Linked DNA regions of Drosophila melanogaster. The protein of the gene in region 3 interacts with the protein of the main gene of each other region in a pairwise test. Each region holds a gene or a part of one and is shown on either strand. Other genes may lie near its edges.

Evidence for each region.
Region 1: the proteins of lms (region 3) and CG4766 interact in a two-hybrid assay, tested with the Drosophila melanogaster proteins (one large-scale study listed by BioGRID).
Region 2: the proteins of lms (region 3) and SmydA-8 interact in a two-hybrid assay, tested with the Drosophila melanogaster proteins (one large-scale study listed by BioGRID).
Region 4: the proteins of lms (region 3) and mfas interact in a two-hybrid assay, tested with the Drosophila melanogaster proteins (one large-scale study listed by BioGRID).

The regions. Positions count from the first base shown.
Region 1 is NC_004354.4:5,995,720-6,003,727, reverse strand, and holds CG4766 (uncharacterized protein), read left to right. Parts: upstream 1-2,930; 5' UTR 2,931-3,531; coding exon 3,532-3,734; intron 3,735-4,227; coding exon 4,228-4,781; intron 4,782-4,905; coding exon 4,906-5,255; 3' UTR 5,256-6,220; downstream 6,221-8,008.
Region 2 is NC_004354.4:2,203,385-2,211,472, forward strand, and holds SmydA-8 (SET and MYND domain containing, arthropod-specific, member 8), read right to left. Parts: upstream 5,295-8,088; 5' UTR 5,101-5,294; coding exon 4,150-5,100; intron 3,080-4,149; coding exon 2,642-3,079; 3' UTR 2,131-2,641; downstream 1-2,130. Other genes in the region: Mct1 (monocarboxylate transporter 1), read left to right, coding at 723-1,053, 1,125-1,325, 1,381-1,544; FarO (fatty acyl-CoA reductase in oenocytes), read right to left, coding at 1-411.
Region 3 is NT_033778.4:20,553,388-20,561,481, forward strand, and holds lms (lateral muscles scarcer), read left to right. Parts: upstream 1-3,489; 5' UTR 3,490-3,570; coding exon 3,571-3,808; intron 3,809-4,699; coding exon 4,700-4,848; intron 4,849-5,004; coding exon 5,005-5,754; 3' UTR 5,755-6,566; downstream 6,567-8,094. Other genes in the region: Mgat1 (mannosyl (alpha-1,3-)-glycoprotein beta-1,2-N-acetylglucosaminyltransferase), read right to left, coding at 6,653-6,766, 6,820-6,907, 6,966-7,048, 7,106-7,196, 7,262-7,366, 7,427-7,857, 7,919-8,094.
Region 4 is NT_033777.3:11,988,695-11,996,033, reverse strand, and holds the start of mfas (midline fasciclin), read left to right. Parts: upstream 1-2,718; 5' UTR 2,719-2,785; exon of another isoform or gene 2,786-3,181; 5' UTR 3,182-3,221; coding exon 3,222-3,292; intron 3,293-3,890; coding exon 3,891-3,962; intron 3,963-6,031; exon of another isoform or gene 6,032-6,180; coding exon of another isoform or gene 6,181-6,191; intron 6,192-6,510; coding exon 6,511-6,824; intron 6,825-7,234; coding exon 7,235-7,339. Other genes in the region: Tk (tachykinin), read left to right, coding at 12-662, 842-1,070, 1,279-1,292.

The DNA.
Region 1 (8,008 bases), on a different chromosome or scaffold from region 3:
TCCGTCAGCAAGTGAAGTTTCCCTGATCGGCGATCTCCGCTCTGCCATGTCCCCATCCCCGATCCTCGAGAGCGGATCAAAAAGTAGCACCACACACGCACCAGCGCCGGGTTAATGGCCATAAACGCAAATCCGCTTAGCATTGCAACGCAATGGAGATTGGAGGATGGAGGATCGGAGCGAATGGAGCTGGAGCTGGAGGATCGGGAGGGAGCAGGACCACTTGCAGTCTGGAGTGGATTGGATGCTTATTAATTCATCACACGTTTCAGCTTTGCGTCGACATGCGATGGGAATGTCATCGACGACCAATGACCAAAGCCTTTAAACAAATTGGGAATTACAAAGTGCTTTGAGGTATAAATATCAGAAACACTCGAGTATCAATTCACCAGCTGTTTACTTGGTATCTGAGTAAAAGCCATAGTATCTATGAGTTATGTGAGAAATCATGAAGCCTGGAAATGTCAATAAAGTCTAGAGTCTAAGTCTAAAACTAAGGTCTATAAACTACAAAGTAAAGATAGTTACATAAAGCTTAGAAAACTTTTAACTTTGTATATGCACATGCGATAGATACTTTTTTGCTTTGCTTGCCTGATTACACCATAACTTTCTCAGATCTAGATACATGATCTTTTTAATCGGCTCGCTATTTCCCAGAATTGGAGGTCCCAGCTCAGCTGAACAGCCTGATTATGTCTATGTGCCGGAGGAATAAACTGCGCTGAATGGTTAGTGAAGGGACTAGAATCGTAACGGAGTCCGATGGGATCCGATCGGATCGAATGGGATCGGATCGGGATGGTATAGGATGGGACAGGGGCACTAAGACAAAAGAGACGATGACGCGGCGACGAAGGAGCAGAGCTGGCGGAGCAGCAAGAAGACAAACGTGGCGGCGACAACGGAGCAAGTGACAAACGTTTAGATGGATGGATCGTTCTTCATTTCGGGGGAACGAGAACTGAACTGAACCGAACAGAACCGAACCGGACCTCTAGAACGGGCGGTCAGTAACCAACCGAAAAAAAAAAGCGACGATTGCACATAAATTATATTCAAATTTCTTTGAGATCTAAGAGATATATAAAATACGGGAAAAACACACACATGCCACATGAAGTCACATGAATGGTCGGCGACCCCGAGACCCACGATCCTGGGTCTGAAAACCGAAAAACTGGAAAAAAAAATAAAAAAACTGTGTAGTTCTCCTTGTTGTGGCCTTTTTTTTAGTTTCCTCTGTTTGTTGAAATTTATGCAGATATGCGCGCATCTAGATAGGAGTTCCAGTGCCACCTCCATCTATCTGGTTACGTGGAAATCCAGCGCGCCAAAAATCAGCCAAATGCCATGGAGTGGTGAGGAGCACCTGGCATCGTCGTTCTCTCTAAAATGGTATCCCATCCAATCGTATCCCATTCATTGGGGCTCCATTAAAATTCGGCTGACAGCAACGATTCACGGCCCCAACAAATTGGAATGGGCTGAATACTATTTAGATATGGCTAGATCTGCTCAAACTGCCACTGATTGATGTCAATAAAGCCGAACAAAAGACCTAACAGCCAACAAAAGATACAGTGGGCCTTCGTTAAGTGGCCAAAATTAGTTTAAAGGGCCATCTAATTGATCATATTCGATATATAGTTTTTTTTAAGTATTTCGCTGTATATATTTCCTAACTTATACGTTTTTTAAAACTTTTAGTTCACTGCATCTCTTTCCATATATGTATGTATCTTAAACATTTTGTATCCATACCTTGCAGATACGTCTTTAGATACTTCCGTCACCATGGGATGCTTGACCCCTTTTTTCCGCTTCCTTCTGCGAAAATTCTGCTGGTCGTCGGCAATTGTGTTCGGTTTGTGTTTTGCCTCCACTCGAATTAGTGGCTGCGTTTGGGATTTGTCTAATTGGAGGAGGCGACGGGCGCTTTGATCTTGCCACATGTCCATCAAGTACACTACATATATGTATGTATACACGATGTACATATTATTATATGGTATATAAGACGTACGGAGAGGGGGAAAGGCGGTAACCGAGAACGGAGGAAGTTGCTCGCTTGGAACTGAGAGCGCTGTCAGAAATTGCCAACTGGCACATTAATCCACGCGACATATTTATGAGTGTAAATGTATCTGTGTATCCGCGAGATGCGAGATATAAAGATATCGGCCGGCAAACGTGGGACATGGACGAGGGTTGCTCGTTGCTCGCTGCTCTTTGCTAAATGAGTGCACATTTCAGATAAATTATTGCACACAACTTGTACGCGATGGCAGGCCGAAATGTATTTAACAAATTAAATTTACACACAGATACACACACCGCGGCTCGCAAGACTTCAAAGAGGGCGCCGCAGCGTAACGGCCGCCAAATGGGGCGTGGCCTCGACGGGCCAATGGCAACGCGCCGCTCTCACAGATACACAAGCAGGCAACCCCATAGATACACCCATACGCATGCAGGCCAGAGAGACAGACAGAGAGCGTATTTGTTTTTAGTACACGCAGAAAAATGAAGTTCTGTTTGTGTTTTTTATTTTAATGTTAACTAGTAATTTTAGTCAGAACCTTAAGTAGGGAATTATATTAAATCAAATAACCGAACTATTTCTTCTTTGAAAAATATAACATTTGTGATAAGAAGAAGTGGCTCTTTGCTACAACAACTAAGAAAGAGTTACTATTAGAATTGTATCTATAACGTTTAAAGTGCCTAGATTTTTGTCAAAGTGCATCTGGCAGATACGACAGATACGCGGGGCCTGTGGCGAGTATCTCATCGATTTTTTAAGCGTCGGAATGCGTGGCACGAGACAGAGACCCCTGTCACGTGACAGCACCGACATGTATCTGTATCTTTGTGTGTGCAGCTGTGTGTATCTGAGCCTGTGAGTCCCATTCATGCCACTGCCACCGAGATGGCGGATTTGTTAGATACTGGCATGGATATTGAGATACTTCGCTGCAGCCGGGCCAAACTGCACTTTCAGCGCTTTTTTTTTTATCTGCCCGAAGCTGTAAATATCCGCGAGATTTACAACGCCAGCCAGCCGCGACTTCGGTATCGGTATCAGTATCGTTTGGCTGACTTCGATTCGTACTCGGAATCGGCATCGGCATCGGCAGCGGCATCAGGCTGGGGGTATCGCTATTGAGCGCAGCGCATCATTCGGTCAGCAATTCGCCAATGCAGATACTGTATCTGCGGGCAGCAGCTACTAAAATTGAAGAGCCAAAAGCTAAAATACCCATATACATACTCGGTACACCGCGGTCATCGTCGTCGTCGTGCTCCACTTGTGCCCATTGTTGGTTCTGCTGTCACCGTAACTCACAATTGAATTGTTCCTTTGTTCTGTCCCGTCCAGAAGGAGACCCGCTGCCGAATTTCGCATAATTGGCTGGCTTTTAAGTTGGCCGCCAGACCAAGTGTCGCCGGTAAAAAGATACATCTACAGATAGATCGTTGTACTTTTGGTACTTTTGGAGCTTGGTGGAACTCGAACTGAGTACCATGCTGGTGCCGCCGGACATGATGGCCGCCCAGACGCGCATGGTCTATCAGATGAATCGATTCTGCACGGAGAGGGTTCAGGCCAGGATGTACAAGACGGCCACCGCCATCCGGGAGATCTGCAAGATCGTCCAGGACATCCTCAAAGAGGTGGAACTGCAGGAGCCGCGATTCATCTCCAGCCTCGTCGAGTGCAATGGCAGGTAAACTTTTTCAGTATCTTTTCATTAGTATCTCAGTATCTTTTCTTTAGTTTCTTAATAACCATATATTAATAACTATATTACCTAATGTTAAGCCGATGCATAAGTTAGCTAATAAAAACGAGAGCTGCTCATCCGATCAGAGATGTCTAGTGTTCCCAACCACAGAGCCATCAACAAGATATCTGGGTAATTCCAGTGCCCTGATGACTGTCATCGCGGCTACTTCTCACTCCAGTAGTTCCACACCATTGCAATCAAATCCGATCCTCTTCACTCCATTGCGATCATTACAACCAAAGTGCAGAGTCATTGTCAGTTAACTGACAAGTCATGCTCATCGAGGTCTCGCCACCAGAAACGGAGTAGCAGTCGCCCCCTATTATACTCATTTCAACACGATAAACTATCAGATTAATATATAGATTTAAAAATATATATATAGTATTGTAAGTAAGCGGTTTCATCGAAATAGTTAACATCACTTTTACAGATTCGAGGGCGTTGAAGTGATATCCCCGAATGAATTCGAGATAGTGCTGTATCTGAATCAAATGGGTGTCTTCAATTTCGTGGACGATGGCACCTTGCCGGGATGTGCTGTTCTGAAGCTGAGCGATGGAAGGAAGCGGTCCATGTCCCTGTGGGTGGAGTTCATAACGGCCAGTGGTTATTTGTCCTCCCGGAAGATCCGTGCCCGTTTCCAGACTCTGGTGGCCCAGGCGTGCGATAAAAGTGTCTACCGCGACATGGTCAAAATGGTGGGCGACACCAGCGAGGTGAAGTTGCGCATTCGGGAGCGATTCGTGGTCCAGATTACGCCGGCATTTAAGTGCTCAGGCATCTGGCCAAGATCGGCGGCCCACTGGCCGGTACCACATCTCCCGTGGCCACATCCCAACATCGTGGCGGAGGTCAAGACCGAGGGCTTCGATCTTCTGTCCAAGGAGAGCGTCATCATGCAGAACAAGAACAACAATGCCGCCAGCATGGAGGGCGATGCCTGGGTGCTCAGCTTCTTCGAGGCCGAAAACCGTCTGCTGCAAGGTAAACATCTTATGGATACACCTTTACACTTACAGAAAAGATCACACAATTTACTAGCAACTTTTAGTATAGTTTGGGAATTTGAAATCTGGTGTATTTAAATCTCATATTGAATTCCTTTCAGGTGGCTGTCGTCGACGTTGTCTGAGCATGCTGAAGACCCTGAGGGACAGGCATCTGGATTTACCAGGCAATCCCATCAGTGCGTATCACCTGAAGAACCTGCTGCTCTACGAGTGCGAGAAGCATCCGCGGGACTTTGAGTGGGACGAGGGCTGCATCGCTGACCGCATCAATGGGATATTCCTGCAGCTGATATCCTGTCTGCAGTATCGCCGTTGTCCCCACTACTTCCTTCCCGCACTGGACATGTTCAAGGGTAAATCCCCCAGTGCTTTGGAGCAGGCGGCCAAGCAGGTGTGGCGCTTGACCCGCGAGCTCCTCACAAATGCCAACGCCTTTGAGAAGTTGTAAGGTGTCAGAGGTTAAAGGTCACGACTGGTCGATAATGGCGATGACATTTTTGGCAGGAATTTATAATTATTAACCGCACTCATAGAGTGAATATTGTTCTTATTTTTTTACCCGTTAGATTAGATTCTTTTGCTCCATTCACATATTGTTGATTTGACTAACTTCTTCTTGCAGTCACGCAAATATCGACCCATCCGAAGTCGGGGGAGTGCTGATGTGTATGAGGTGCCAGGCAAGTCGGAGATGAAAGGTACATATGCGAATAAATACATACGCATAAGCACAGCTCCTTGGCGGCCATTTTGTGCCATGTCTGTGTATATGTGACTGTCTGCGTGCGTGCGCGTGTGTGTGTGTGTGTGTGCGAAAGTGTTAATGCGAAGATGCGAGATAAGTCCACTCCCCATTCGACTCGACTCGACTCGACTCAACTCGACTCGATGCGATTCGAGATATATATCTGCCCATCCAAGCGATCCGGCTAAGCCTCGAATATTGTTTTTAATAACTCGCCCCTCGACGCTCACGACACATCCTTTGTTTGGCCGGCGAACAATGGACTCGCCGGTTCGCAAGTCCGGATGGAAAAATCGAAAAATCGAGAGAATGAAAAAAGAGCATTTGTCCAGGCGGCTCCTTTTACACGGTGGCTATACACACTCGACGTATACGATTGTTTCACAGTTCGCAGATCCTAGATCAAAGCAAAACGAACATACAAAAAATATATAATATATACATATAGCGCTAGAACAGAGGGAGATACAGATTCCATTGATCGTTCCAAGTCCAACTTAACATTGTTTTACTACTTACATATACATATACACATATTTATGTATGTCGATGTCTATTATGCGATGCCTAACATTTACCACGATTATCCGCAGTTTGTTTTAAGTACAACATAATCCTAGATTGCTAATGTAAAAAATGCTTGAATAAATTCAAGGATAGCCAAAGGCAACACTCCAGGTATTGTTTTCCTATCAATAGGGATTGTATTTTAAATCACTTGATTGCTTAGCAAATACTTACACAACACTTGCTGAAAGAACATGGAGAGTTAAAAAATGGATGTTCTTAACTGATATTCATATATTTAAATGAGGCTGACAAACGGAAGATGTACCACAAAAAAAGGACAAATCTGGAAAGGATGTGCTGGGATCTCATTAGTTCGATCGGCGGTTGAGTTAATGTTATGATTATTGGCAGTGGCGAATATTTATTTGCAAACGACGACATATCTGGATCTGGATGTGGATCGGAATCGTCTTGGGATCTGAGGCTGGGAAGATGCAGCTGCTGCAGCGACAACTGAGCATCACTTTTATTACCCTTATTTATGGTTATTTTCTGGCGGGGGCTGGATCCACGAAAACCGAGTGGTTTGCCTGCTTTGTTCTGCGGTTCTTTTGTCCCTTCGCTTTACTTTATTATTTTTCGTTTTTTTTTTTCTTTCTTTCTTTTTTTTTGGATTTTTTGCGGAACGAAAACTTTCAGCGAATGTAATCGATATTTTCCTCGATGGACGCGTCGACAAAAGGTGTCTCTAAACGGAGAGCACGGGATATAATCAGCGTCAGCACAAAGAGCCAGTTGGTCGGAGCGATTCGAGTCCAAGGATATGCCAAGGATATAATAATGCGTGGGCCAAAATAACAAATTATGCCAAGGCACGCAGGGATCATGTTACGCAGCCCTCCATCACCAGCAGTAACCCCTGTGCCACTAACCCTCGACTGGGTGGCTTTGGCTGTGGCTCTAGCTTTGGCTGTGGTCCTGTTCTTGGTCCTGGGAAAAGCATCATCAGGTGACCGAATCGGTATCCGAGTCCGCAGGCGAATCCTCCGCAGGATGCGCACTTGGCCGCCAGCGGGAGGACACGTGACTGCCTGTTTTCCTTAATTTTCATTCACTTTGTGGGTGGAGATGCGACCAGAACCATGTGCCAGTTGCTTCGCATCGATAAGGCACGATTCCCATTGCCCCGTTGACAAATGGTATTCGAGAGGCCATTTAATGGGGGCCAACAGTTAGAGCTCAGTTCGAAGTACCAGGAACCATGACGCAGCACCTGCCCATTCACATGGCCAAGTCCCAAAATCATCCTGATCCCGGGCAGCCTTCTCATTTGATCGGCTGTCACAACTTTGGCGAAGCCACAACAAAATATTGTCGCTTTTCGCCGCTGGATTTTGGTTTGTACACAGATACCCTGGGAATTTTTGAGCATGCTTATAAATCTATCAAAATTGTGAAAACTTTGTGAGTGTGACTATGTCCCTTACATGGATGAAAATTTTAAAATTACAATAGAATTTGATTTAAATAATTGAATGGAAATAGTTTTATTTCACTTCATTTATTTTTTCCAAACAGGATATCTAATGTTCGAATCTTGCGAGTCAATGCTCGTCAGTTTTTTTCCTTTTTGTTTTTCTCGTTGACATTTATGCGCACCCGCCCTCCAGTTTTCGTAGCTCCTGACTCCGTATCCTTCCGTCGAGACCTGCCACGCCCCCAGGCGACTCGTGGGCGGTGACAGGCGACTTGCTATTGCGATGGCGTCGCATTGTCCTGGCATTTCGGGCTTCTGTTTTCTGGGCTCTGGGTTGCGTTTTCTGGCTTTGTCGCATGGCTTCGAATGGCATTTCTTTGTTTTAATTGTTCACTAATGATATTTAAATTAGGGCTCTAAGTGACCGCGGGCGGTTTTCTGCTATCCTGCTCCTTCGCCCAACCCCATC
Region 2 (8,088 bases), on a different chromosome or scaffold from region 3:
CTCCAAGGTGCCTCCGACATTCAGACGTACTGCCTCGCGAAGCGGCTCATCGAATCGCACCGTGGCGGCACAGTGGTAGACCAGGGAAACACCTTTCATACGCTGCATCATCGAGGGATCGATGCCCAGTCCCGGCAAAGAGACGTCGCCCGGGACCGCCACGATCTTGTCCAGCTCTTCGGGTTTTTGTACGGCCAGTACGTGGAAGACAGTGGCCTGCCGCAGTCGGACGAGTCTCTGCTCCGCTGTTAGCTGTTTGCGAGGACGCAGCAGGACGTAGATGCGCCGAACGTTGCAGGAGCGCAGGAGCTTCTCGACCAGCGCCTTGCCCACCACTCCCGATCCGCCCGTCACGAATATTTCGCTATCCTCGAAGAATTCCTCCATTTCCCCGGATAGTGGATGGTGCATTGTGATTCACTGACCAAAGCCCGCAAAGCAATGGAACGCAGCTCCAGGGGTCGATCCGCTTAACTGAACGCTAGTCGGCGCGCGTTCATTAAATCCGTGATTTGATAAACATGAGCTGCGCCACTACATTTCATGCTAATTTCGGGCTCAATGCGATCGTAAGCACTTTACAGTTGACAGTGGCCCGGCAATCCCGGATCGGGCTGACCTTAAGCGGGTTCCACTTCCAATGAGGTGGAGCTGCCGTACTCCCTGCACTTAGGTTAATAATATATAGGATTGATGATGATAAGCCGATTCATCCGTTTCAGGAGGAGGCCAAATGCTGTGGCTGCATCACTTGCTCCAAGGAGACCCGCGACACATTCGCCGAAATGATGAACTTCTCTCTGCTCAAGGACATGGTGTTCGTGATCTTCTCCGTGTCTAATTTCTGCACGAGCATTGGCTTCAACGTTCCGTACCTGTATGTGGTCGCCTACGCGGAGACCCTGAAACTCACCAAGACGGATGCCAGCTATCTGATATCCACGATTGGCGTGGCCAACACAGTGGGCCGCATAATCCTGGGCTACATATCGGATAAACCGTGGGTGAACCGCCTCCTGGTCTACAACGTCTGCCTCACCGCCTGCGGAGTTTGTAAGTTTGTGATCTGATCGGCGCGACCTTCAGACTAATCCCATCCTGCTCCTCCGTTCCCTTTCCACTAGCCACTGCCATGGTGCCGCTATGCCACGACTTCCAATCCCTGGCCTTCTACTGCTGCGTCTTTGGCTTCACGATCGGCGCCTATGTGGGCCTGACCTCGGTCATTCTGGTGGACCTGTTGGGACTGGACAAGCTGACCAACGCCTTTGGCCTGCTGCTGCTCTTCCAGGGTATTGCCAGCTTCATCGGTCCGCCCATCGGAGGTGAGTACTCGCCATAGCTGGAAGTAGTGCTATGTGTCTGACCTTTGCTCTCCAGGCTGGATGTACGACCTGACGGACTCGTATGCGCCGGCCTTCCTGATGGCCGGACTCATGATCGCCATCAGCGGACTGGTGATGTTCGCCATTCCGCCGCTGCAGCGCCTGCAGGTTCGCAAGTCGGAGCGAAAGCCCCACACCGAGCACCTGGCCCTTAGTTAGTAGTTCACCGCCACCCATCCACCACCCACAGTGCCCTGTTTATTCCTACTCCATATTTTTTTGTTTTTTTTTCTACTGTAACTATAAATCTAGATACGTACTGATGCACACGACACTTGGTTAGATTAAGTCCTAGACCTAGGCCAGCCATGTACCGAGGTATGCGTGTATGCCGCAGCTATGGCATATCCGAATAATTGTGTACGGGCGACTGTCACCGAACCGCCGGCTTCTGTCCCCCGAGCCATGACCTCTGACCCCAGACCCCAGACCCCTGACCCCTGACCCCAGACCCCATTAAAGGCCCCCATTGCAAGTGCATGCAAATGTATGCCTACACGTACATGTACCCATACCAAATTATTGTTATTCTATTATGACTGTATGCCTGTGCGTGTGTGTCCGTCTGTGTATGCGCCATTAAAGAAAGCTTTTGTACAACAACAGAAAACCACAAAAGTCCATTTTGAAATCGATTGGCTGAAAAACCACACATGCCCCTGACAATGGGAATATGAAATGTGCGGGTAAGTAGCGTTGTGCTTGAAACAATCTATTTTTTACGAAATCAAATACGAAAGATACAGGCTCTAGAAATTCATACGCGTTAAGATTACTGCAATCAGTTTTGGCCAATAGCCCCAGAAATGCAATAGATAATCCATGTACCATATAAATCACATGCCATATACATACTGCCCAGTCGACTTGCTCCTCGTCAACACAGCATTCCTTTCACATACTACAGTGCTTGCCAAGACGATCCCAAAAAAACGAATGAGAGCCCAGAGAATCTACATCGTGGCAATTTTCAACTTGTTGGTCAATCGCAGACCGGTGATCTTCGTGGCTAGTTGGCTATTCATATTTATTGTCAGGGCACAGAGGCGTTCCTCGAAAGGGGTCCACATACAGAACGGATTGCAGATATAGTTCGAAAGGATTCGGTGTTTATTGGATTCTTAAGTGACTACGAATAAAATAGCAACAAAGGGCTCGGATGCGATTCACGCCACCCCGAAAAGTACGCATTCACAAAAGCACTCACTCATTCACACCTAAAAAAAAAAAAATGAAGTTTTGAAGCTAAATATGAATCACTGAATCTCCCCGGTGATCAGCTTCTTTAGGGTACACTCTCCGGCTCCCAGCTTGTGGAGGATGGCCAACACTTCCTCGCGGTAGCGATCCATGTGGCCCATCTCCTCCGGAGTGTACTCCTCGTGGTCGAACCGCGTCATCCTCCAGATCACATTCAGCTTGGCCTCGATCAGCACGTAGTTCGAGGAGGGACAGAAGCGCGGACACAGCTCGTTGATGAAGTGGATCATGTCCTGGACACTGCACGAGTTGATACGGTTATTGATGGTGTTCAGCGCGAAGTCCTGGTACTTGGCCATCTTTGCGTGCGGGAACACGTTCTCGCAAGTGATGCACCGCCAGTCCGGCTGCAGTGTCCGAGTCTGGACGGGAATCACCAGGCCACGGCAGCCCTGTTCCCGGCAGAAAAGCGCCGACAAGTAGGTGCCGTTTTCCTGCAAGAAGACAATGGTCAGTGAATCGAAGGACTTGGGGGGAATCAGGAAATCGGGGGTGGAATCTGCAGTCAAAGATCCGGCGGGTTCACGTCCGCCTCTGTCCATTCACGGCGTACAGTTGGTTCCACTCCGAATCGAAATGGAAATCGAAATCGAAATCAGAATCGAAATCAAAATTAACATTCTGTGTGTCATGCTCATGTAAATTTTGGGGGTGTGTGTTAGTAGCCCGGGAACTTTGGATGCCCACATTAAAGGCATATAGGCAAATAGGATCAATGGACTGATAATGTATGCCTCGGAGGTCTTGAACAAGAGTGCGTTTAAGGTGTATATTTAATAGCAAGAATGGAACTGTCCAACGACTGCAGGGCTGTGACAAAGATGTCTCAAGCTCACCCAACTCCCAACAAGTAATTTTGTTACTATGCCCATCAGGCAGTCATTTTAGCAGGGAAAAGTGCGTGTGCCTGTTACCAAATGTTGCCCCTTTGCCCACTTGATGGACACCCCCCCTTGGGCGCGCCCCTGGGCCCTGGTTGATGCAAATCATATAACTAATTTAATTAGGGAACGCATTTGTGTCAGGGGGCCTGGCCAGCGGCGGCCACTGCCAACGCCAGAGGCCATTATTCAACTCATCCCAGAGCGGCAGAGAGCGGCCACATAAATAGATGTGGCCGGCCGGATATGTGGATCGCGTACGTACATACATATATGCCCATGCCACTCACATCCCTACCACACGCGCACTTTCACAACGCCGGTGACATCGGCGTTGGCCAAGAAATGTGCCCGAAATTCAGAGCTTTTCAAATTGCAATTATTGTTTTTTGTTTTGGGACAAATATATTGCGATGGTCGCGATGCAGATGGCGGATAGGGAGAATGATAGCTATCAGGTAGGTTCAGAAAAAGAGGATTGGTGGAAAGTTTGGCGAAGATTGCTATTAACCATGAAGAAACTCCATCAGCCTAGAAATGACCATAGTCAGAAGCTAAGCTTGCAGATGGTGGGAGGAGGGATTACCCAAGGAGACCAGGATTCCTATTGGTACCGTACTCACAGTATTGTCGTGACACCTCACGCAGTCGCAGGCAAAGTGCTTGGTCATCTTGAGGAAGATATTCCGGGTGAGGTTGCCCCAGAGGATCTTGGTGTAGGTCGTGGTAATCTCACCGCCCTTGGGAATATCGCGCGCAGCCCGAACCACCGCCAGTCGACCGTTTTCGAAGTAGTGACTAGCGTTCGGGGTGCACTCGTGGTTCATGATCGCCGTGAGCGGGAACAGACCCCGCAGTAGCGTCTCGTGGCCGCCAGAGCGGCAAGGAGCCTCGAAGGCATTTGTATTGAGCACGCCCACGATCCGGAACAGCTGGTCCATGAACACCCGATCCGTGGTGGGGAAGTTCCGGAAGCATTGGGCCGCCTGGATGATCTCCCGCCGGTAAGCGCGCTCCGCATTCGCTTGCATGGCGTCCACCAGATGCCGCTGTTCCTTGCCCAAGTGGAAGACCCTCACTGCGGTGAGGATCCTCAGCGACATAGGATTCACCTGCTCCTGCTCCGCATCCACGTCTTTGGGCTGCCAGCGACGGAAGTGCTCGCACTCCGCCTGGTGCTCCTCGGAATCCGAACAGGTTTCGCATACGGGCAGGGTGCAGCGATGCCGGCAAAGGAATCCCGTTTGCGGCAGGGTCTCATGACAGCAGATGCAGCTGCTCAGTTGGCCCTTTCTCGCCGTCGGACCGGTGACTAGGGCTCGCTCCTGGAAGATCAGCTCGCCGGCGGCTATGTCTCGGGTGGCAAACACCCCACGACCTGCCACCGTGGAGGAGCTGATGGTCCAGTTGGGCTGCTCTTGGCGCAGATCCCCCAAGTGGACGTCTATCAGCTGCGCCAGCTGCTCGGGCGTGGTGTCGCGACAAGGGGCCATGTGAGCGCTCAGGGCGGCCAGTGTGGTGTCTCCTCCACCACCGCCTGGGCGAGGAGGCGGGCACTGGGCAGCAGTAGACATGGCGACTGCGGTGGGAGGTCGGTCGGAACTGCGGCGAACCAACGCGACGCGCGGCAACTCGGCGAGTGAAGATGTCTCCGCGCAGCTGGGCGGACTACGCGGGAATAGCAACGATATAGTGGCGACAGCGACGACAGCAGCAACATGAGCAGCGGCAGCAGCAGCAGCAACACCACCCAGCACATCAGCAACAACAGCAACAACTGACTGCCGACAGTGGAAGCAACCCAGCAAAGCAGCGACGCTTATGACGTGGACACACCGACGCCCTCGGAGAGCATTAGACACAACTAAAAAAACACAAATTAGAGGCATCCACCAGGGAACGGGGGAAGGCGATTGACGAAAGGGGCCGGGAGGTGAGGAACGGGAAATGGGGGGGCAAGGGGACAACAGCGACAACAGTCAAATATGATTTTTTCCAAGGCACACGCACACTGAAAGCACACACACTCGCCGCCAAGTTCCCATTTACGAAATCCAAAATAACATTTTCCCCGAAGGAAAGAACTTGAGCATTGTGTTCATTGTTTTGGCCAAAATTCGGGCTATTTTTAGGCAGCTTGACACAAAAGTTCAACACTTTTTGTGAGAAGCCAAAAGTTTTGATTCCGCGATAAGCGGTTTCGAAACGTTTTCGGAGTCGGGAACGTGGAGCCACTTGGTGCGCCACTGGGAAATAGAGACATTTGGCTGGGACGACGCAAAGCGGATTTTGCTTTTGACTCTTATTCAATTTGTGCTTGAGCTGTTGTTGCCGTGTGGTTGTTGCTGCCGCTGCTGTGGTTGCTATTGTTGCGTTCAATTGGATTCGCTAGTGGGCGTCCATCGGGGGTTGACGATCGCGAGGGGCATAGTGAAAGGCACTGATGCAGCCATCAGCCATCAGCCATTCAGCCATCAAAGAACATTTCCCACTGTCAATTTGTTCGCCAAACACCTCACTGTGGCTGAAACCCCCAGCCCCCTTCACCGAAGTCTGCTTGCGGTTGGTTATGGACGCCATAAACTGAAACGAAGCCATAGGAGCACCACCCACCCCATCTCATCCCCACCTCCACCCCCATCCCATCGCTATCACCATCTTCATCCGATTTCTGTCGCCCTACGACAATCTGAACGGTTGGCAAAATTATTTGTGGAGATGCAGCGCCATTGATACCAAGCGTGTTTGTCTCCCACGCTGCTACACTGGCCAAAAATGAGTGCACGACGTAATAGGCCGCTCATGGATAGGACTGTAAGCCCTGGAGAGTGTTGCCTAAATGCATACAACGTAGAATAAGAAATGAGTACTACAATCCTGGCTGGCAGTGCAACCCACTTTCTGCGGGTCTAACTACATATGGCAGTGCGTGTGGCCGGGACATAAATTAGGGCTTCGCTGGCCAATGAGTTGCGTGTTCCAGGGGCCAAGGGGTCGGAGACACCAGGCCGCAAAACGAGGTGAGCGTCGCAACACGTGACCTGGTGGGGAGAAGGACCAGTACCAGGACCATGACCAAAAATGGGGTGGCTCCACTCCCAGCTGTTCACTTTCCGACGCGAATGTCACGCACTGTCACATGTTCCAAAGTGGAGTAGGTTCGTCCTGCCACGCCCATTCTCTGCGGTAATACGTAAATCAGTTCTAAAGCGTACGACCTCCGTTCTCCCTGCTCCTGCTACGGACCGCCAGCAACTTATAGTTCGCCCACATTCCAAATCTATTTTCACTTTTACGCGCATTTTATTGGCCCAATCGAACGGAAGCTAGACTGAGCGGCATGAAGCGAATAGAACGCACTCGAATGCCAAATATCAAAAAGCGTGAATACCAACTGAAAAATTATAGGGTGCGTTCGGGCATTATCGACCATGAGTCCTTTAAAGCTATCATGATAAATATTATTACATTAGCACAACCACAACTTTTGTAATAGTCGATCAAATGTGGAATGCCATACCTTGTTGAATTCGTAGCTTAATTTCCTATCCAGTGGCATTCCCAGCTAAAAATATTAAAATTTCACCATTTTTCGAAAAAAAACGTGATGTAACCCCTTATAAAAAAGTGAAAATTTCGCAAAAAATTATTTTTACCAAATTATCTAAAAAATGAAATGGGTCGTTAGGTGAGGTTGTCAGCTGCAAAAAACAGTATGTTTCGTATCTGTGCGTCTTCATTTTGCGAAGTTACAACTAAAAAACCAATAAAAAAGTCGTTCATTTTGACAAACAAATGTGTCATGATTTTTAGTAAAAAAAATATCAGAATTTTGACCACAACTTTTGTAATAGTCGATCAAATGTGGAATGCCATACCTTGTTGAATTCGTAGCTTAATTTCCTATCCAGTGGCATTCCCAGCTAAAAATTTTAAAATTTCACCATTTTTCGAAAAAAAAACGTGATGTAACCCCTTATAAAAAAGTGAAAATTTCGCAAAAAATTATTTTTACCAAATTATCTAAAAAATGAAATGGGTCGTTAGGTGAGGTTGTCAGCTGCAAAAAACAGTATGTTTCGTATCTGTGCGTCTTCATTTTGCGAAGTTACAACTAAAAAACCAATAAAAAAGTCGTTCATTTTGACAAACAAATGTGTCATGATTTTTAGTAAAAAAAATATCAGAATTTTGACCACAACTTTTGTAATAGTCGATCAAATGTGGAATGCCATACCTTGTTGAATTCGTAGCCTAATTTCCTATCCAGTGGCATTCCCAGCTAAAAATTTTAAAATTTCACCATTTTTCGAAAAAAAACGTGATGTAACCCCTTATAAAAAAGTGAAAATTTCGCAAAAAATTATTTTTACCAAATTATCTAAAAAATGAAATGGGTCGTTAGGTGAGGTTGTCAGCTGCAAAAAACAGTATGTTTCGTATCTGTGCGTCTTCATTTTGCGAAGTTACAACTAAAAAACCATTAAAAAAGTCGTTCATTTTGACAAACAAATGTGTCATGATTTTTAGTAAAAAAAATATCAGAATTTTGACCACAACTT
Region 3 (8,094 bases):
AATTAAAACATATGCTCATCACTTAGGCCCATAAATCTGTCCGACACAATTATCAGTTTCAATTTGTGCGTGAAACTGTTTGATATCACAGGCCAGACTGCCGATGTCAATTAGTAGAGTCACTAGTGGATCTGCACCCCTTTTCCACTGGGTTGGGGATGTGGGGGCAATTTTCCGCCACTCGAGGAGGGAATCTTCTCGCCAGCCCATTTGGCTCGTTAAAATGCCGCCGCAATTGTTGAAGATCGAGGAGAATCCCATCGATGCGTTGAGGTGGCAACACAGCGCACTCCGCACACTCGAGATACAAATAAAGGCAAAAGATACAGATGCATCCAGTCTCCAGATCTGTCACTCAGTCCTGAGTAATTACACCAAATTAATTGCGCGTAGTTGTCAGGGCTCGCATTGTCTGCTAATTTTTCCAATTGCACAGCTTTTCCTTTAATTGCCTCCATCAGTAGCCCATGAATTCGAATTGATTCACCATTTGATCCGAGAAATAAAAACCAAAAAAAAAATATACAAATAAAAAACAGGCAGGGAAATCCGAGAAGAGCCAACGGAATCTGTTTGATTGTGTCGTAAAAAAAGCGAAACACTCCTATATGATTTAAACTGCATGTTTTGTAAAAATCTAATTTGATAATTGGTTGTAATTTATGAGTCTTGTCTGCTCGCCTGCAACATAAACACCACACGGAATGACGGAATGACGCCTTTTACTCCTCGAGCTCCTCCCCAAGCATGTTTCCCAGAAAAGTGCACCAAGAATTGGAAACTGGGAGCCCACTTCCCATCCACGGACTCCGAATTCGAAACGAGCGCACATTAAATTAATAATATGCAGTTCATTCTCTCCCGTTTTTTTTTTTTTTTTCTTAATTATTATTTATATCTGTCAGTTTATAAGGCGTAGGCTGGTTTTTTGGTTTGCCGGAGGCAGTTTTATGAATGAAATTAACAGCATAAGATGGGTGGAGATCCCAAAATTCATCACCGATATTTATGGCGGTCTTTTGGCAGGATAATGCAATCTGCATTTAATTTCCGCATTAACGAATACGTTCAAAAATATAGAAAAATTTAAGTAGTTTTCATTTAATAATACAAGCTGCTTAACAGGCAATATGTATAAAAAATTATACATATTTATACCACCTGATTGAATGCCTTCTTAATACTTTCTCTCTGCGGTCTGTTCTACATAGTTTCTAAGTACCTAATCATGGTATCATATTTCCATAACCAGCTCTAATAGGTCTTCACACAAATTAGCCTCGAGGCAAACAAATAGACAGCCCAACGAATCAATCAGGATACAGTTTCCCAAGGAGTTCAATGCTCGCCCGCAAAAGGAGTTCCAACATCACCTTCGGCGTAATCGGAAACCACACGAATATCCGAGAGTCAATGGCGTGGGAGTGTCACCGATGCCCGTTCCAGATACAGATTCAGATACAGATACAGATGTTAGTCCGGAGCAGCCCAATGATCGATGTGGCAGCGAGGCAGCAGTTAGATGTAGCTAACACCCTGCAGGACTTGATGCATCATTAGCTGGATGCGATGACAAAAAGAGGGCACAAAAAACATTGAAATTCTGGCCGGAGGACGGACTGTTCCACGCGACTGCCAGTGCAACTCCGGACGTGATTTATGCTGCGTGCGCCTGACAAACACTCGAGAAGTGATGATTTATAATGAAGATGCATGCTCGGTTATTAATTAAATTCTGACGCGACTGCGCTCCATTTAGTCTTAAATGCGAGAACCAAACAAACTGATCTTTAGTTAGCCTAAGGTTATGGTTGTCGTCTTACGCAATAAGGGCCAAAAGATCCTTAATTGATTCGAAATTCCAGAGGCAAATTCCAGTGCAAAGTGGTAAGAGGTATGCAAAATATGTTATGCTGAGAATCTTATAATAATACTTAAACATATCTGCAAGTTCATTTCCTTCCTCAGATTTCTCTGATCCAGTTAGGAAACTTAATATATTGACTTAGCCAAAACAAGATAGAATAGAATACTTATGTTCAGATGTTCGGCTTGAATGTGATTCCATAGATACCCATGGATAGATAGGTTATAAAGTAGCCAACAAATTGGTAAATACTCAAAAATGACGAAGTCGAAACAAAGTCTGCATTCTGTTTGGCAGTGGAATTTGAAATATGGCAAGCAATAGTCGAATATTCATTAAGCGCAATTATGAAAATTAAGTTGTCATTTTGATTTGAGTGCCCGCGACACTCGGGCATGCGGCCTCATAAGCAGATCTAGATCCCCCCCGCATCCGCAACCGAATCCGAATCCCCGCCAGAATTCTCATTAAATTAAATCAAACTGACAGCCCGGCCGGCTAAATGGATGCCCTGCGATTCGTCCCCTTTCCCCTTTTTGCTCCGCCATCTCGGCGACTAATTAACGTGTTTTCAGATATTTTGTTCAAATCGCGCCTGAATAATGAAGACGTTATCATGGGGCATCCGCGCATCCAGGAATGGGCACCCTGTAGCCCAGTAGATGTTGTGGATTTGGCTGCTGGCCAATTGGAAACTAGTGTCAGCCAGGCCGCCGGCTAATTTCTCAGATCCTCCCCTCCATTCGGATCCTGAGTGCCCCTTTTCCATTTTCCATTCTGTCTGAATTATGTGTTCATAATTTCGAATTAATGAAATTTTTACAGGGGGCTTGGGATTGGGATTCAAAGAAATAGAAAGTTATAATATGAAATATCTGTAAGGAAGGTGTTCTAAAAACTCAACAATTAAGTTATGATTCAAAAAATGTTGTGCTTCAAAATTACTGTTTCTCAGATTTAAATTGAATATATTATACACATTAAAAATGTTTCTCAAGCTAGTAGAACCCAATTATGCATTGCGTTACAATCACTTAGACTAATGGCCTTGTATTACTTTGTTAAGAGATTTAAAAAATTCCAAAAAATCGACAAAGAAACCATTTGTACATTTGAATACAATTTTTTGAATGCTGCATTGTTTAAAGAATTCTGAATTAACCCAAAAGAGGACACGTGCCTGCACACCAAAGCACTGAAAACAAATCCAGTCAAAGAAATTGCTCGCCGTTCATTAATCAAATGGATGAAATATGTTGGCAAACGTATTAAATATATTTAGCAAAGCCATCGAAATATTAAATAGCGCTACTTGTAGACAATTAGCCAAAAATTATGACTTTTAATCACGGGCAAGGCGACAAAAACAATTTCGAAAACCCAGAAGACGGCGTTGAACGCGAGCCACGCCCCTCATCCCAAACATTTCACACATGTTTTAAAAATAACCGAACTTGTGTGCTGTCTTCAGTGAAAATCGAATAGTATGTTTCTGTTCCTTTCTGTCGTTCTATTTGCGCATATGGTGTGAGCGGTGCGGAGATATATGATTTTAGGCTCCGCCCCGCCAGGCGATCATCTTGAAAAATCGGCCAGTGAGCAGGATGCTCCGCATATTCAAATTAGTTTTCCGTAAGATCTCCACGCGCGCTGTTGTCTCCGGAATATCTTCAAAATATATATCGCTCGCAATCGGCGGAAACATGAATTCGCAATCGGCAGTGCGTCGCTATCCACACAGTTTTTCCATCGAACAAATTCTGGCCAAGCCGGAAATGCGCAGCTCCACTTCCTTTGAGGACTCCGTGCAGGATGAAAGCGGTCGCGGTGGCAATTGTCTCGGTGCTTCACGGGCTTCCAGTCCGGCAACATCGAGTTGCTTGGATGACAACATGGACGACGGCAAAAGTGATATCGATTTGGCCTCAGATGATGGAAACGGTGCGTATGATCGATATGCCGGAATATAAGCTTTACAACGACGAGAATTTTGGTGTCTGGAATTGGATTTGGGATCTAAAAACTTAACTTAAAGCTCAATTGGATCCTTATTAAATAGCAAATATACAAAATATAGATTTATACTGAACTTCATCAGGATAAATAGCACCAACAGCCAAATAGTCAGTGCTTTAGTGCTTTTAAGTGTAGTATTATCAAGGTTCAAGGAATTATCAAGGATCTTTCAAATAATACAGTTACAATATACAAATTTTAAATTCTGAAAAAAAATGTCTCTAAAAGATGATTTACCTCCTAATGGAATCACCCATAACGAGCTCAGCACAGCCGTTCATTATTGTATGTAAATATGCAATGAGTTTCCCACCTGAACGAATGAGTGAGTGCCTATGGCTGAATGATCTCATCTGTCATCCGTGCGATCAAGAAACAAATGATCAGAAATTAGCTTCTGGGTGACAGGGAATAAGCCATCCATTCCATATCCACATTTTCGTCGACACCAACGCAGTCGACTAATGATGCAAATGTCACAAGCGAACAAAGATCGCTGGCGATCTCAAAGGAGATATTCTTCCACCCGTTAAGAAGGAATTTATATGGCTATTTGTTTTCGGTCGGCCAAGAGAATGTATGCCAAAATGGCCAATTAGACGCCTTGGCTAAGTGAAATGCAACAGTGTGATTTGCAATTTGCCAGGGGTTTTGCGGTGCGACGGGGCATTTTACATACACATACAACTGTGCCAACAACGGATCGACAAATTACCATTAGGCGAAAATAGTTGGCACCGCGCGCCGGATTGCCCGCTGTCGGTAGCAATAAATGTCTAATTGGGATTTCGATTTCCCACTTTGATTCCATTGCAGGCCTTGGTGATGACCGCAAAAAGCGACCGCGTACCGCCTTCTCGGCAGCTCAAATCAAAGCACTGGAAACGGAGTTCGAAAGGGGAAAGTATCTTTCGGTGGCGAAGCGAACTGCACTGGCCAAGCAGCTGCAGCTCACAGAAACGCAGGTTAGTTGTGGAATCTATCAAAAAATTTAATTACTACCCAAAAAAGTTTGCCATTCTATCTAAAAGCGATTAATAACATGAAATGAAATCCCTTGTATCTATGAGATACAATTGGCATTCCTCGTAAATAATTCATTCATTCATTTCACTTTTCAGATCAAGATCTGGTTCCAAAACCGCCGCACCAAGTGGAAGCGCAAGTACACCTCGGACGTGGAAACGCTGGCCTCGCACTATTACGCCCAGCTGGGTATCGGGGGATTGGCCAGGCCGATGGTGGTTGGTGATCGCCTTTGGCTCTTTAGCCAAACGCCAACGGGTCCCACGCCCATTCAGTCCATTATGCTAAATGGCAGTGGCTCCGCTGCACCCATGGCCTCAGCAACGACGGCCACCGGCTCACCCATGCGTCCGTACGCGACTAGCGGCGGAATGCCACCGTTGCCGGGTCCCAGTGTGATGGAGAGTGCCCGTAATGCCATACTGGCACGTGGACAACCCTTGAACTTCGCCCTGCCCTTTGGCGTGGCTAAGCCGCCGGCGGGTGGTGTGCCTGCGGCCAGCTACATCCCTCGCTGCAAGCCGTATGCGACCAGCTATGTGGACTACGCGGCGTCACTGCCAACGAACGAGAGCTATCTGCAAATGAAGTACGCGACGCTGCCGCCGGAAGCGGAAAGCGGCGCCTCCAATGGCCTCGCCGAACTGGAACGCGTCTTTGGGGATGCCAATGCCAACTTTCTGCAACAACGCAGCACGCCAGTCGCTGGAACAGCCACAGCCTACGGCCACGATGGATTAAATCAGGCGCAGCGGAGCCGCAGACCCACACAATCGGAGTCCGAGTGCAGCGACATTGACTGCGAGCATCTGGACGAGGATGAGGAGCCACCTGCTGCGGAGTGAAAAGGCGATTGGTTGTCTTTAGAATTTATGTTCCGTACGTCTCTCATACACACAAAAATATGCTCATACAAAGTGTAGTCATAGGGGGTAGTAGAGTAGGTGTCCTGTCTGGGTTGATTCCATTACAACTAGCTGAGAGTGGCACACTTTCAGATCTGGCCGGGATTACTGGCGTACCCCTGGTGGCTCAGCACTGGTCTAGTTTACGTTGTGGTTCTAGTACTAGTACTAGCGCTAGTTATTGCTATTCTATGTTACATTGTGTGGGTCGGGTACTGTTTACTGACTGGCTCTCAACAATTAATAAATGTAAATTAAATAATCAAAAATCACAAATATTACACGTCCGTTGCCGTTAGAACTCTAGTTGGATCAACTTAAATGCTACAAATTACACGCTGCATACTATAACTTAACCATTGCTATAACTATTTGCAATTTAACACGATAAATTGAGAGAGATAGACAGATAGAGAGAGCTGTAACAAAAGCGAACGACACTGACTTATTTACAATTCATTGCGTTGCTTGTGTGGCTGGTGTGCTAGAATGGAACACTTTTGGCTCTTGCCACACACAGTTCGGTTCGGTTGACTACTATACATAGTGGAGACTCATTTGATTTGATTTTGTTACGCCAACAGTAGGTCCGTAGGCTAGGGATCTGGAGCAGACGAATTGCGTTTTCTATCAGAAATCAGGGCTAGTACTCCAAGTACTCCTGCCTACGCGATGGCTGCGAACAGCGTCTACTGTTCGAGGAGATTCCATAGTTACAACTTAGCTAATTGGTCAAATAAAAATTAAAACTCATAGGGCTATTTTTGGTATTGCAAGCACGCGGAGCTAGCTGCGTGGTAATGGAAGTGGAGCTGGCGGTACTCTGTCCTTAGCGTCGTTAGCTCCAAGAGAGCTCGTAGCCCTTCCAGTTGGCGTTGGGTGCCAGATGCACGCGCCGTTTGTTGTAGTAGAAGGAGACGATGCCATGGTAGGCAGTCCGCGGAACACCGCTCTACAAAGATTAAGAATAATCATAGTTTCAAGCACATAGATTGATTGATCTACCTTGAAATCATCCATAAGACCCAGCATCTTAGTTGTCCGCTTGTACTGCTCCCTAGTAGTGTATTGAATGCGAACTGGACCTTCGATTCTGCAACACCATAATTGGAATTATGTAGATACTTTCTATATATCATATATCAACTCACCTAATCAGGTTTCGCCGCAGCTCATCGTACGTAACAATGGGATACGTATAAACGCGCCGCAGAAACGTGTTATCGTAATTGTCCTGAACATGAAATAGTTGTTAGTGTAATGAGGCAACAATGCACGGGTGTGTACCTACCTTCAGCAGGTAGCTCATATTGATTTTTGTAAACTGCACAAAGTCCTCGCTCAGTTTAATGTGCTTCAGATACTTATCGAAGAACAAACCGCTGTTAAACAACAAATTATCATTATTAGCTGGCACGTTGCATTGTTAGCTAGCTATATCTCTTACTTGGAAACGCCTATTTTTCCAAACGTGCGAGTGCGTGATATTTCGGGCCTAATGCACACGCGATCTTTGCGCTGGGCGGGATGACGTATCCAATCATCCCAGAAGCTAGAACAGTTAATGAACCATTAGCGATTGGCTGGCAAACACCATAATTGCCCCACTCACGATTTGGGCCATTTGACCGACAGCTCGGCCCACAGATCTTTGGTGAGCATCCAGCCGAGACCGGGAAAGAAATCGGTGCGGTAGAGCAGCTCCGGCTGCGCGGCGTCCACAACAGCAGCCTTGCCATTGTCATTCCACGCGGACACGCACCACAGGCTGGGGTCCTGCTTGAGCAGCTTGTGCGTGCCCAGGAAGTACTCAAAGAAGTCGGGCGCCACGTTCAGATCGTCCTCGACGATTATGACGAACTCAAAGCCCACAGCGAAGGTGGTGTTCAGGGCCCAGCCGTAGTGTCGGGCTATCTTGTAGTAGCCTTTGAATTTTTTCTCCTTCGGCAGCACTGTGATGTCGCTGAGATCAGGCTGCTCGATGAGCGTGACCTGTTTGCCATACGAGAGGATTGCCTCCTTGGTGGGCTCATCGCCGCAGTCCTGTATTAGAGCATAAGTATAAGTATAAGATTTAGATTGGGTAGCCCATTTCGATCCCTACCTGTGACACAATAATGGGGAACTGCTCCACGCTGGGCCTGTACTGAACCAAGTTATCGATGCACTTCTTCACCGACACCCGATTGCAGGCGAAGACTACGACTGGAAACACGGGCTCGCCATTGGCCAGATATGTTTTCGTTGGAATGCGCGCCGTTGCCGACTTGGCCACATGCT
Region 4 (7,339 bases), on a different chromosome or scaffold from region 3:
CGCCACATCCAATGCGCCCTCTGAGCGGTTTGATAGCGCTGGCGCTGCTGCTGCTGCTCCTGCTGACGGCACCATCGAGTGCGGCGGACACGGAGACGGAGTCCTCCGGCAGCCCGCTGACGCCCGGCGCCGAAGAGCCGCGTCGGGTGGTAAAGCGGGCGCCCACGTCCAGCTTCATTGGGATGCGCGGCAAGAAGGACGAGGAGCACGACACCTCGGAGGGTAACTGGCTGGGATCGGGACCCGATCCGCTGGATTACGCCGACGAGGAGGCGGACAGCAGCTACGCGGAGAACGGGCGGCGACTGAAGAAGGCACCGCTGGCCTTTGTTGGCCTGCGTGGCAAGAAATTCATCCCAATCAACAACCGCCTGTCCGATGTCCTGCAGAGCCTGGAGGAGGAGCGCCTGCGGGATAGCCTGCTGCAGGACTTCTTCGATCGCGTGGCTGGGCGTGATGGCTCCGCGGTGGGCAAGAGAGCGCCCACCGGGTTCACGGGCATGCGAGGTAAGCGACCCGCCCTGCTGGCCGGGGACGATGACGCGGAGGCGGACGAGGCCACGGAGCTGCAACAAAAGCGGGCGCCGGTCAATTCCTTTGTGGGGATGCGCGGCAAGAAGGACGTCTCCCACCAGCACTACAAGCGTGCAGCTCTCTCCGATGTAAGTCGACTTACCTTGCAGTTAGTTGTTGGTGGCAAGTACAGTGGTTTCTCTTGATGCGCTTATTAAAACACTAAAACCCCATTGCAAATCAGAGTGTTAGTCTTTTTTTGAATAATACATAAAAGAAACCATTGAATTGCATATCTATACATATGTGAAGATCTAATCGACCCCAGTTCTGGCACACTTTTTTTAAAAAGTCCTATGACTTGAGAGGAAAACAGCAGCGCTTCGCCGACTTCAACAGCAAATTTGTGGCGGTGCGTGGCAAGAAGAGCGATCTGGAGGGCAACGGAGTCGGGATTGGTGACGATCATGAGCAAGCTCTGGTGCATCCATGGCTCTACCTGTGGGGAGAAAAGCGAGCGCCCAACGGATTCCTGGGAATGCGAGGCAAACGGCCAGGTACATATTCACAAATTCATTTAACCAAAATGTATTTGGTTAAAAAGCTGTTGTATTTCAAGCTTAAGGTGGCAACCTATTATTAAGGAAGCTGAATAAAGTTTTAAATTAATACATTTATTATTTATTGCTCGCCAATGGGGGGAAACCCAATTTTATACCCAATTAATTATAGATTTTGATTATTCTCTTCCTTTCATCGACACAGCACTTTTCGAGTAGGCGATGTTGAGCGATTTGATAGATCTTGATGGAAGTTCCTCTTAGAGCTACAAAACTAGGAAATGCGAAAGTAGATGGACACAGGGGACCGGGAGAGCAGATTTGGAAACAGAAAATGGATCACATGAGTGTTTTAAATAATCACTGGGCTGGAGATTATTTCAAACACGGACACACAAAAAACACACGGCTAAGAATTTGCTCTGTTTGTCGACACAAAATTTCAGCTTAATGTATAACGAGACTTGCGAATAATTTATTGGGAATTTATTTGAAATTGAATGAGATGCTTCGATGAGTGTGTGGATTCAATTGTACTATTTGCATATCTAAGTGTAAACTTTTAATCAAAATTATGATGAAAATTAAACTAGAAGAAGTTCAAATGCACAAGATAAACAGAAAAGTGGGAAAGTAATTATTTATTTAAAACAAATATATTTAAAACGAATATACTTAAAGATACATTTCAGTTGTGGTACATCTACGTATACAAAATATATATACACCTACATTAATAGCACAAATAAATATTGTAAATAATGAATAAATATTTATTTCAGAAACGGATGATTACGATTTTTCATGGTTTTTCAATAACAACATACTTTGCTTGACTTTGGTAATAAGTAAAAAACGGGCATCTAATATTGACTAAAATCAAAACAATGAGCAATCAAATATAAGAACACATTATAAAGTCTTCTAACAGTTCCAAGAAATTCAATTTCATCTACACATGTAGCTACAAGCTGACATCTTGTTTATACAAAACAATAAAAACCGATCGGAACAGTTTCAAAATATGAGGAGACTCCTAATAAGGCGGAACCGACCAGACACCACAGTGATTGATGGGTGTTAGAGGTTACGGGAATATCGGAAATTCCAAGTGCGCACTACACCTGGCTAGCAAATACAGGTAGGACATTGCCAGAAACGCTCTAGGTGCAGTTTAAACAGAAAATGATTCTAGGAAATTGAAAATACTCGAAATGAATAAGTAGTTTGAAATGCTCGCCAAGCCAAAGTCTGAAATGATATGAGTCCTATATTATAGGATATATTCTTCAGATTCTACACCGTTTTAGTTTGGGTTTTGTATCCCAAATTCTACAGTATTTTGAGTGAAATGTACTATGATTAATAAAAGTGCTTCGTTTCGCTCGCTTCTCTATGAAGTGTTAATAGCTGGCACTTTCACAATTTGTACGAACCTCCTGCCACCCGCACTATTTGCATATACATATGTAAATACACACATACATACATATATAGAGCTATTACCGATTTCACAGCGTCCCCAAAAGTTCTCTCTGTTCTCCCAAAGCTCCCATGATCACTACATGCGTTGATATCGCGGCAGAGGAATCGACGGCGACTGCGGCAGAGCAGCTTATAAATACCAGATGCTCGACGTTCTTGGGCAGTTAGTTTTAAACTGCGACTTGAAGCGGCAACATCGTCGGATCAAGCAACATATAACAACTTTCGTGAGTGCCACAAGTGCCCCTTTTTTACGATTAACTGCAGTAAAAGGAGCCAGAGACATTTGATAATTGAGTGTGTGCCAATTTTTGTAAAAACAAGACAATTGACAATAATTACAAGTGAGTGACAGGCGGTATATGTCGTCTATCCGTAGCATATTTACAATTAATGCGTGAAGACAGTGGAAAATTTTCTTCGTCGACCGTCGCTCTCACTCCCAAAATCAGTCACCTACATACGCGAGTGCAGCGCTGCGTGGAAAACCTGTATTTCTTCGGTTTCTCAGCTGTTTTTCCATCCATCGCGGTGAAATTTCTCGAATCCAACCAGCCATTCAGCCAGCTTCAGCCATTCCCTTGATTACAGCAACTTTCAGCTTGTCTCGTTCATTTACTTAGCTCCCAACCGAGGCTCCAGATTAAAATTGTGATACCAAACATGCTACGGCTGTGGGCCTGCCTGCTCCTCCTGGGATCAATCCAGATCCAGGCGGTTCCATTCTACGGCGAGTGAGTATCAATCCGACAAGTTTTTCGTGCTGTGTAGTAGCGTTCGTTTCATGCACATTTCACGTAGTTTGAGTTGTTTGCGTTGCGGGCTAAATGGTTAACATATGTACATCGACATCTTCTGATAAGGCATGAACTAAATGTTTTATGTTATCGGAACACAATTGAAATGCCAGGAATGCCTGGGACCCACAAAATTGAAATACTTCTCTAATTAAACATATACAATTTCATAGAATCATTGGAACAAAATTTTACCTAACAAGCGCATCCCAAATAACTAAAAACGGAAAAAAATTAAAAAAAAAAAAACACTTTGAAAGAAATACAAAATTAGATCTAAATTGAAACGTTTGATACCATCCATAACAATGTTTATAACAATATTAATGTAAGCCACGAGTTAAAAAACAAGTATTTTGCCATTATTGAAGTTTTACAATAACGCTTTCAAATATATTTTTGAAGACCAATTGGTAAAGTTTCCAAATAATCGTTAATATTAAGTGCTTAAGTCCCATAGAACTAACCCTAGTAGATTTTTCCCATCCGCCCGACCTTTTAAATCTGTCCCAATAAACGAAATGTTGAATTCCAGTTCAAGTTCTGAAGAGGTTGCCGAATTCGATGACTCCTCGGATTCCACACACGAGTCCTCAGATAACTCCAGGTGAACTATAAGTAAACGTAGTTAGCCCAGCTGTTGAGTCCCCAACATTTCCCAGTAGATTTGCTCATTTACAACTACTTAACAAAGCAAACATACCGACGAGGTTTACATGTTAAACAACTTAAAAATGCTTAAACAGTTTCAATATTTTTTTCACTCACGGGTTCCGCTGGGCCCACTGACACCACATAAAAGTTGGCTAATACCGGGTTCAGTGTTTTTTATGACATTTTCAAGCCCAACGAGGCACCGAGCCCTGTTTGTTCTTGGAGAAACTTTTCGCCCGCTAAACGAAACTGCAAATAAAGTTGACCGAAATGTTTATGGTAGCGAAGGCGCTGAAAGAGCGAAAAGTTCCCCCGGAAAGAAAGTCCAAAAGCCCGCCGAGTATTGACCTCAATTGATAAACCTTAAACTGAAATTGTTGAGTCGCAGAGATTGTCTGCCAATAAATCCGCATCGAACTGGGTTCTTTGCCGCCATTGGAAATGTGCAAAGGCCACGATCTGAGTCTTTGGCTTTTATTATTTTTTTCCCCCTTTTTTGCGAAAGATACTGCATCGCAAGAGAACAATGTGCAACCAAAGTGGGGCAACACCGCGGGACTTGGGCAACCAAGATCCACATCTTCTTCCACCGATCTTCTCCGTTCGCTCCACACTTGGCTGACTTTGCCACCTTTGGGTTCAAGCCGCCGCAGGGCTCATCTTTGGCACACAAATCTCGAACAGTTTTGGCCCTGAGAGCAATTGACATTTGACACGGCATTAAGTGGCATATTGTGGGTAATGGGTAATGCGCCGGCAAAAGAATGTCTCCGCAAACTCTATAATCTGCCCTCGAATTGGGTCGCCCACAATTTGGTTCCCCCTTTAACGCTCACAGAATGTTTTTTTTTATTCTGCCTGTCACGGCTGCGCTTAAATTAAATCAGGCAGCCATTTGGTTGGATCCATCTCTGCCCTCGACGTAAACATTTCCCTGGAAATTTCTGTGGCCAATGACTTTCGCTCTGGCTTCAAGCGAACAGAATTTAGTTTGTTTGCAAATTATATTCGATTCACAGATTGGATACGCAGTCTACAAATATTCCAAGTAGTCTTGAATACCATGATCACAAAACAAATACTTCACACATTCATTAATCTTTCACAAAGTACTTAGTCATTGAATTACTGCTAAATGGATATATTTAATATCTTATCAAACAACATACAGTTGATATTATATTTTTGCACAATTTTTAAGATGAAGAGTAATTATTCTAAGATTTCAAAAGTCATTCGCTCTATTGTAAGATTTTTTATTTCTTTATTCAAATCTGTTCATATGAATGTATACATTTTGAAATATTATTTGCATTCAATAATCGACGTACAGTAGTTAAAATAATGAAAAAGAAATAAAATTTTTGACTTATTTCCAAGTAATATAAAATATTTATGATAACGTTTTGAGTAAATATTCTTGCGAATAAATTGTGAATAAATTAAGTGTTCCTTTTTATCAAATATTTTGATGGTTTTTTGATTGATGGACACACAATTGATTTAAACTGAGGTGCATTCACTCGCTCTAGCAATATTATAGAAGTGATTTCCAGAGAATCTGACAAGGTAGAAAGAGAAAAAAAAAAATCAAACTGGCCAAGCCTCTATGTATTGTAATGTCGGCTTAAACCGCCTGTATCTGTAGCTCAGCCAAAGCCGCTTCGAGCCCTGTCGATCACGTCCCGCCTGGATGAGTCATCTTGGACGGAGGCAGATCTCCAACCAGAAGTGAATCGGATACACAGAAGTACCTCAAAGTCAGCAACCCAACAAATTGTTTACGTTTCGCCTTTTCGGGCAGTATTGTTTTATTATTTATTTCCAGCTAGTTTCGTTTCGTATATTTTTTTCATTTAGCACTTATTATGAGCTTTTTTTAATTAGCTCCCGCGAAGCGAATTTTAATGAGCCGCAGCGAAGAAAAAAAGATTTGAAGTTGGCTAACGCGTATGTATGTCTTCATAGAAAGTATCTGAGTCAGTTTACAGATTTCGAATGCATTGGGAGACGCAGAAAAAACCAAAATCCGTTGACATAAATCTCAGTTGATGGATGACAAGTGCAGGAACATTTCTCAAGTTTTGTTCGCCTTTTTCAGCGATTGTTTCGGCACTTAAAAAGTTATTTTCATTTGATTCTAAAAAGAGTTCCACTGACAGGCGCTTAGTATGCGGCTCAGGTAAATGCTGCGCAAAAAACCTAAACAATGAGCACGATCAGCATATATACTACATACAGATAGATACATATATTTAGTTTGGTGAGGATAGAGTTGAGCTTCTTTTTATGCGAGGTAACAATGGAGGCATATGAATTATTGGGTCCCGGTTCCGTTTCGATTCGTTCCGCTCACCAATGGAATTTGCATGAAGGGAACACACACAGACACACACACACACACACACATATGGGCACACAGTAGCCAGCTAATACTGTATACACTAACCACATCACTCTACACCACGTCCACTCCTACGCCCACTCCCACCGTTCTGCAGCTTTATGCCACATTTAACCCACCCATTGCCGGCGCATCGCAATCTGTTCGCGCCCCTGCCCTTCGCACCACTCGCACCGCTCGAGCCCCAAGATCCACTGCATGCCCAGGCCTCGCAGCGGATGGCGAGCGTCTGGAACGGACCCGCCCCGTTGGCGCCGCAACTCCACTCATCTCACCTGTTGCCCCTCTTCAGCAGCGGATACGACACCGAGTTCGTGCCACTGGAGCACCAGCAGCAGCCGCAGGGACGCCAGGAGACGGCGGCCACCGTTCCCGCTCAAACCCCCAGCGGTGTGGAGCAGAAGCCGTTCAGTAAGTGCTCTATATCTCTATAATATACATATATTTAGATATTCGTTTAAAATTTATTAAAATAGAAATCCCAAAACTCTTTTAATTATTTCTGTTGCAATTGGTTTCTAGTCCAAATCTGGAATAAAATCTGAATTTAAATCTGAAATTGAATCTTAGAAACGACCAATTTATAAACTACTTTGCAAAACAGCAAGAGGTAGCCATTCTTGATCAACTATGCTGATCGCTTAATTATAGTGATTTAACAATGCCATAAAAATTGCACTCGCAAAATTAGTATCTTGAAGAATATTATGTGCAAGCTTAATCTCAGCGTAATTTGAATTGTTACTAAAGAATATTTTAAGTGTCTTAAGCAATTGTTAAATTTTATAGTATGGTTTTAATTGCGTTTCCTTACTTCGCAGATGTGGACACCATCACCACGGATGTGAATTCCCCAAATCCGGCCATCTTCTTCCAGCAATCGTTCCCCTTCTTTGGCAATGAGTTCTTCAATTCGTTCGGAGGCT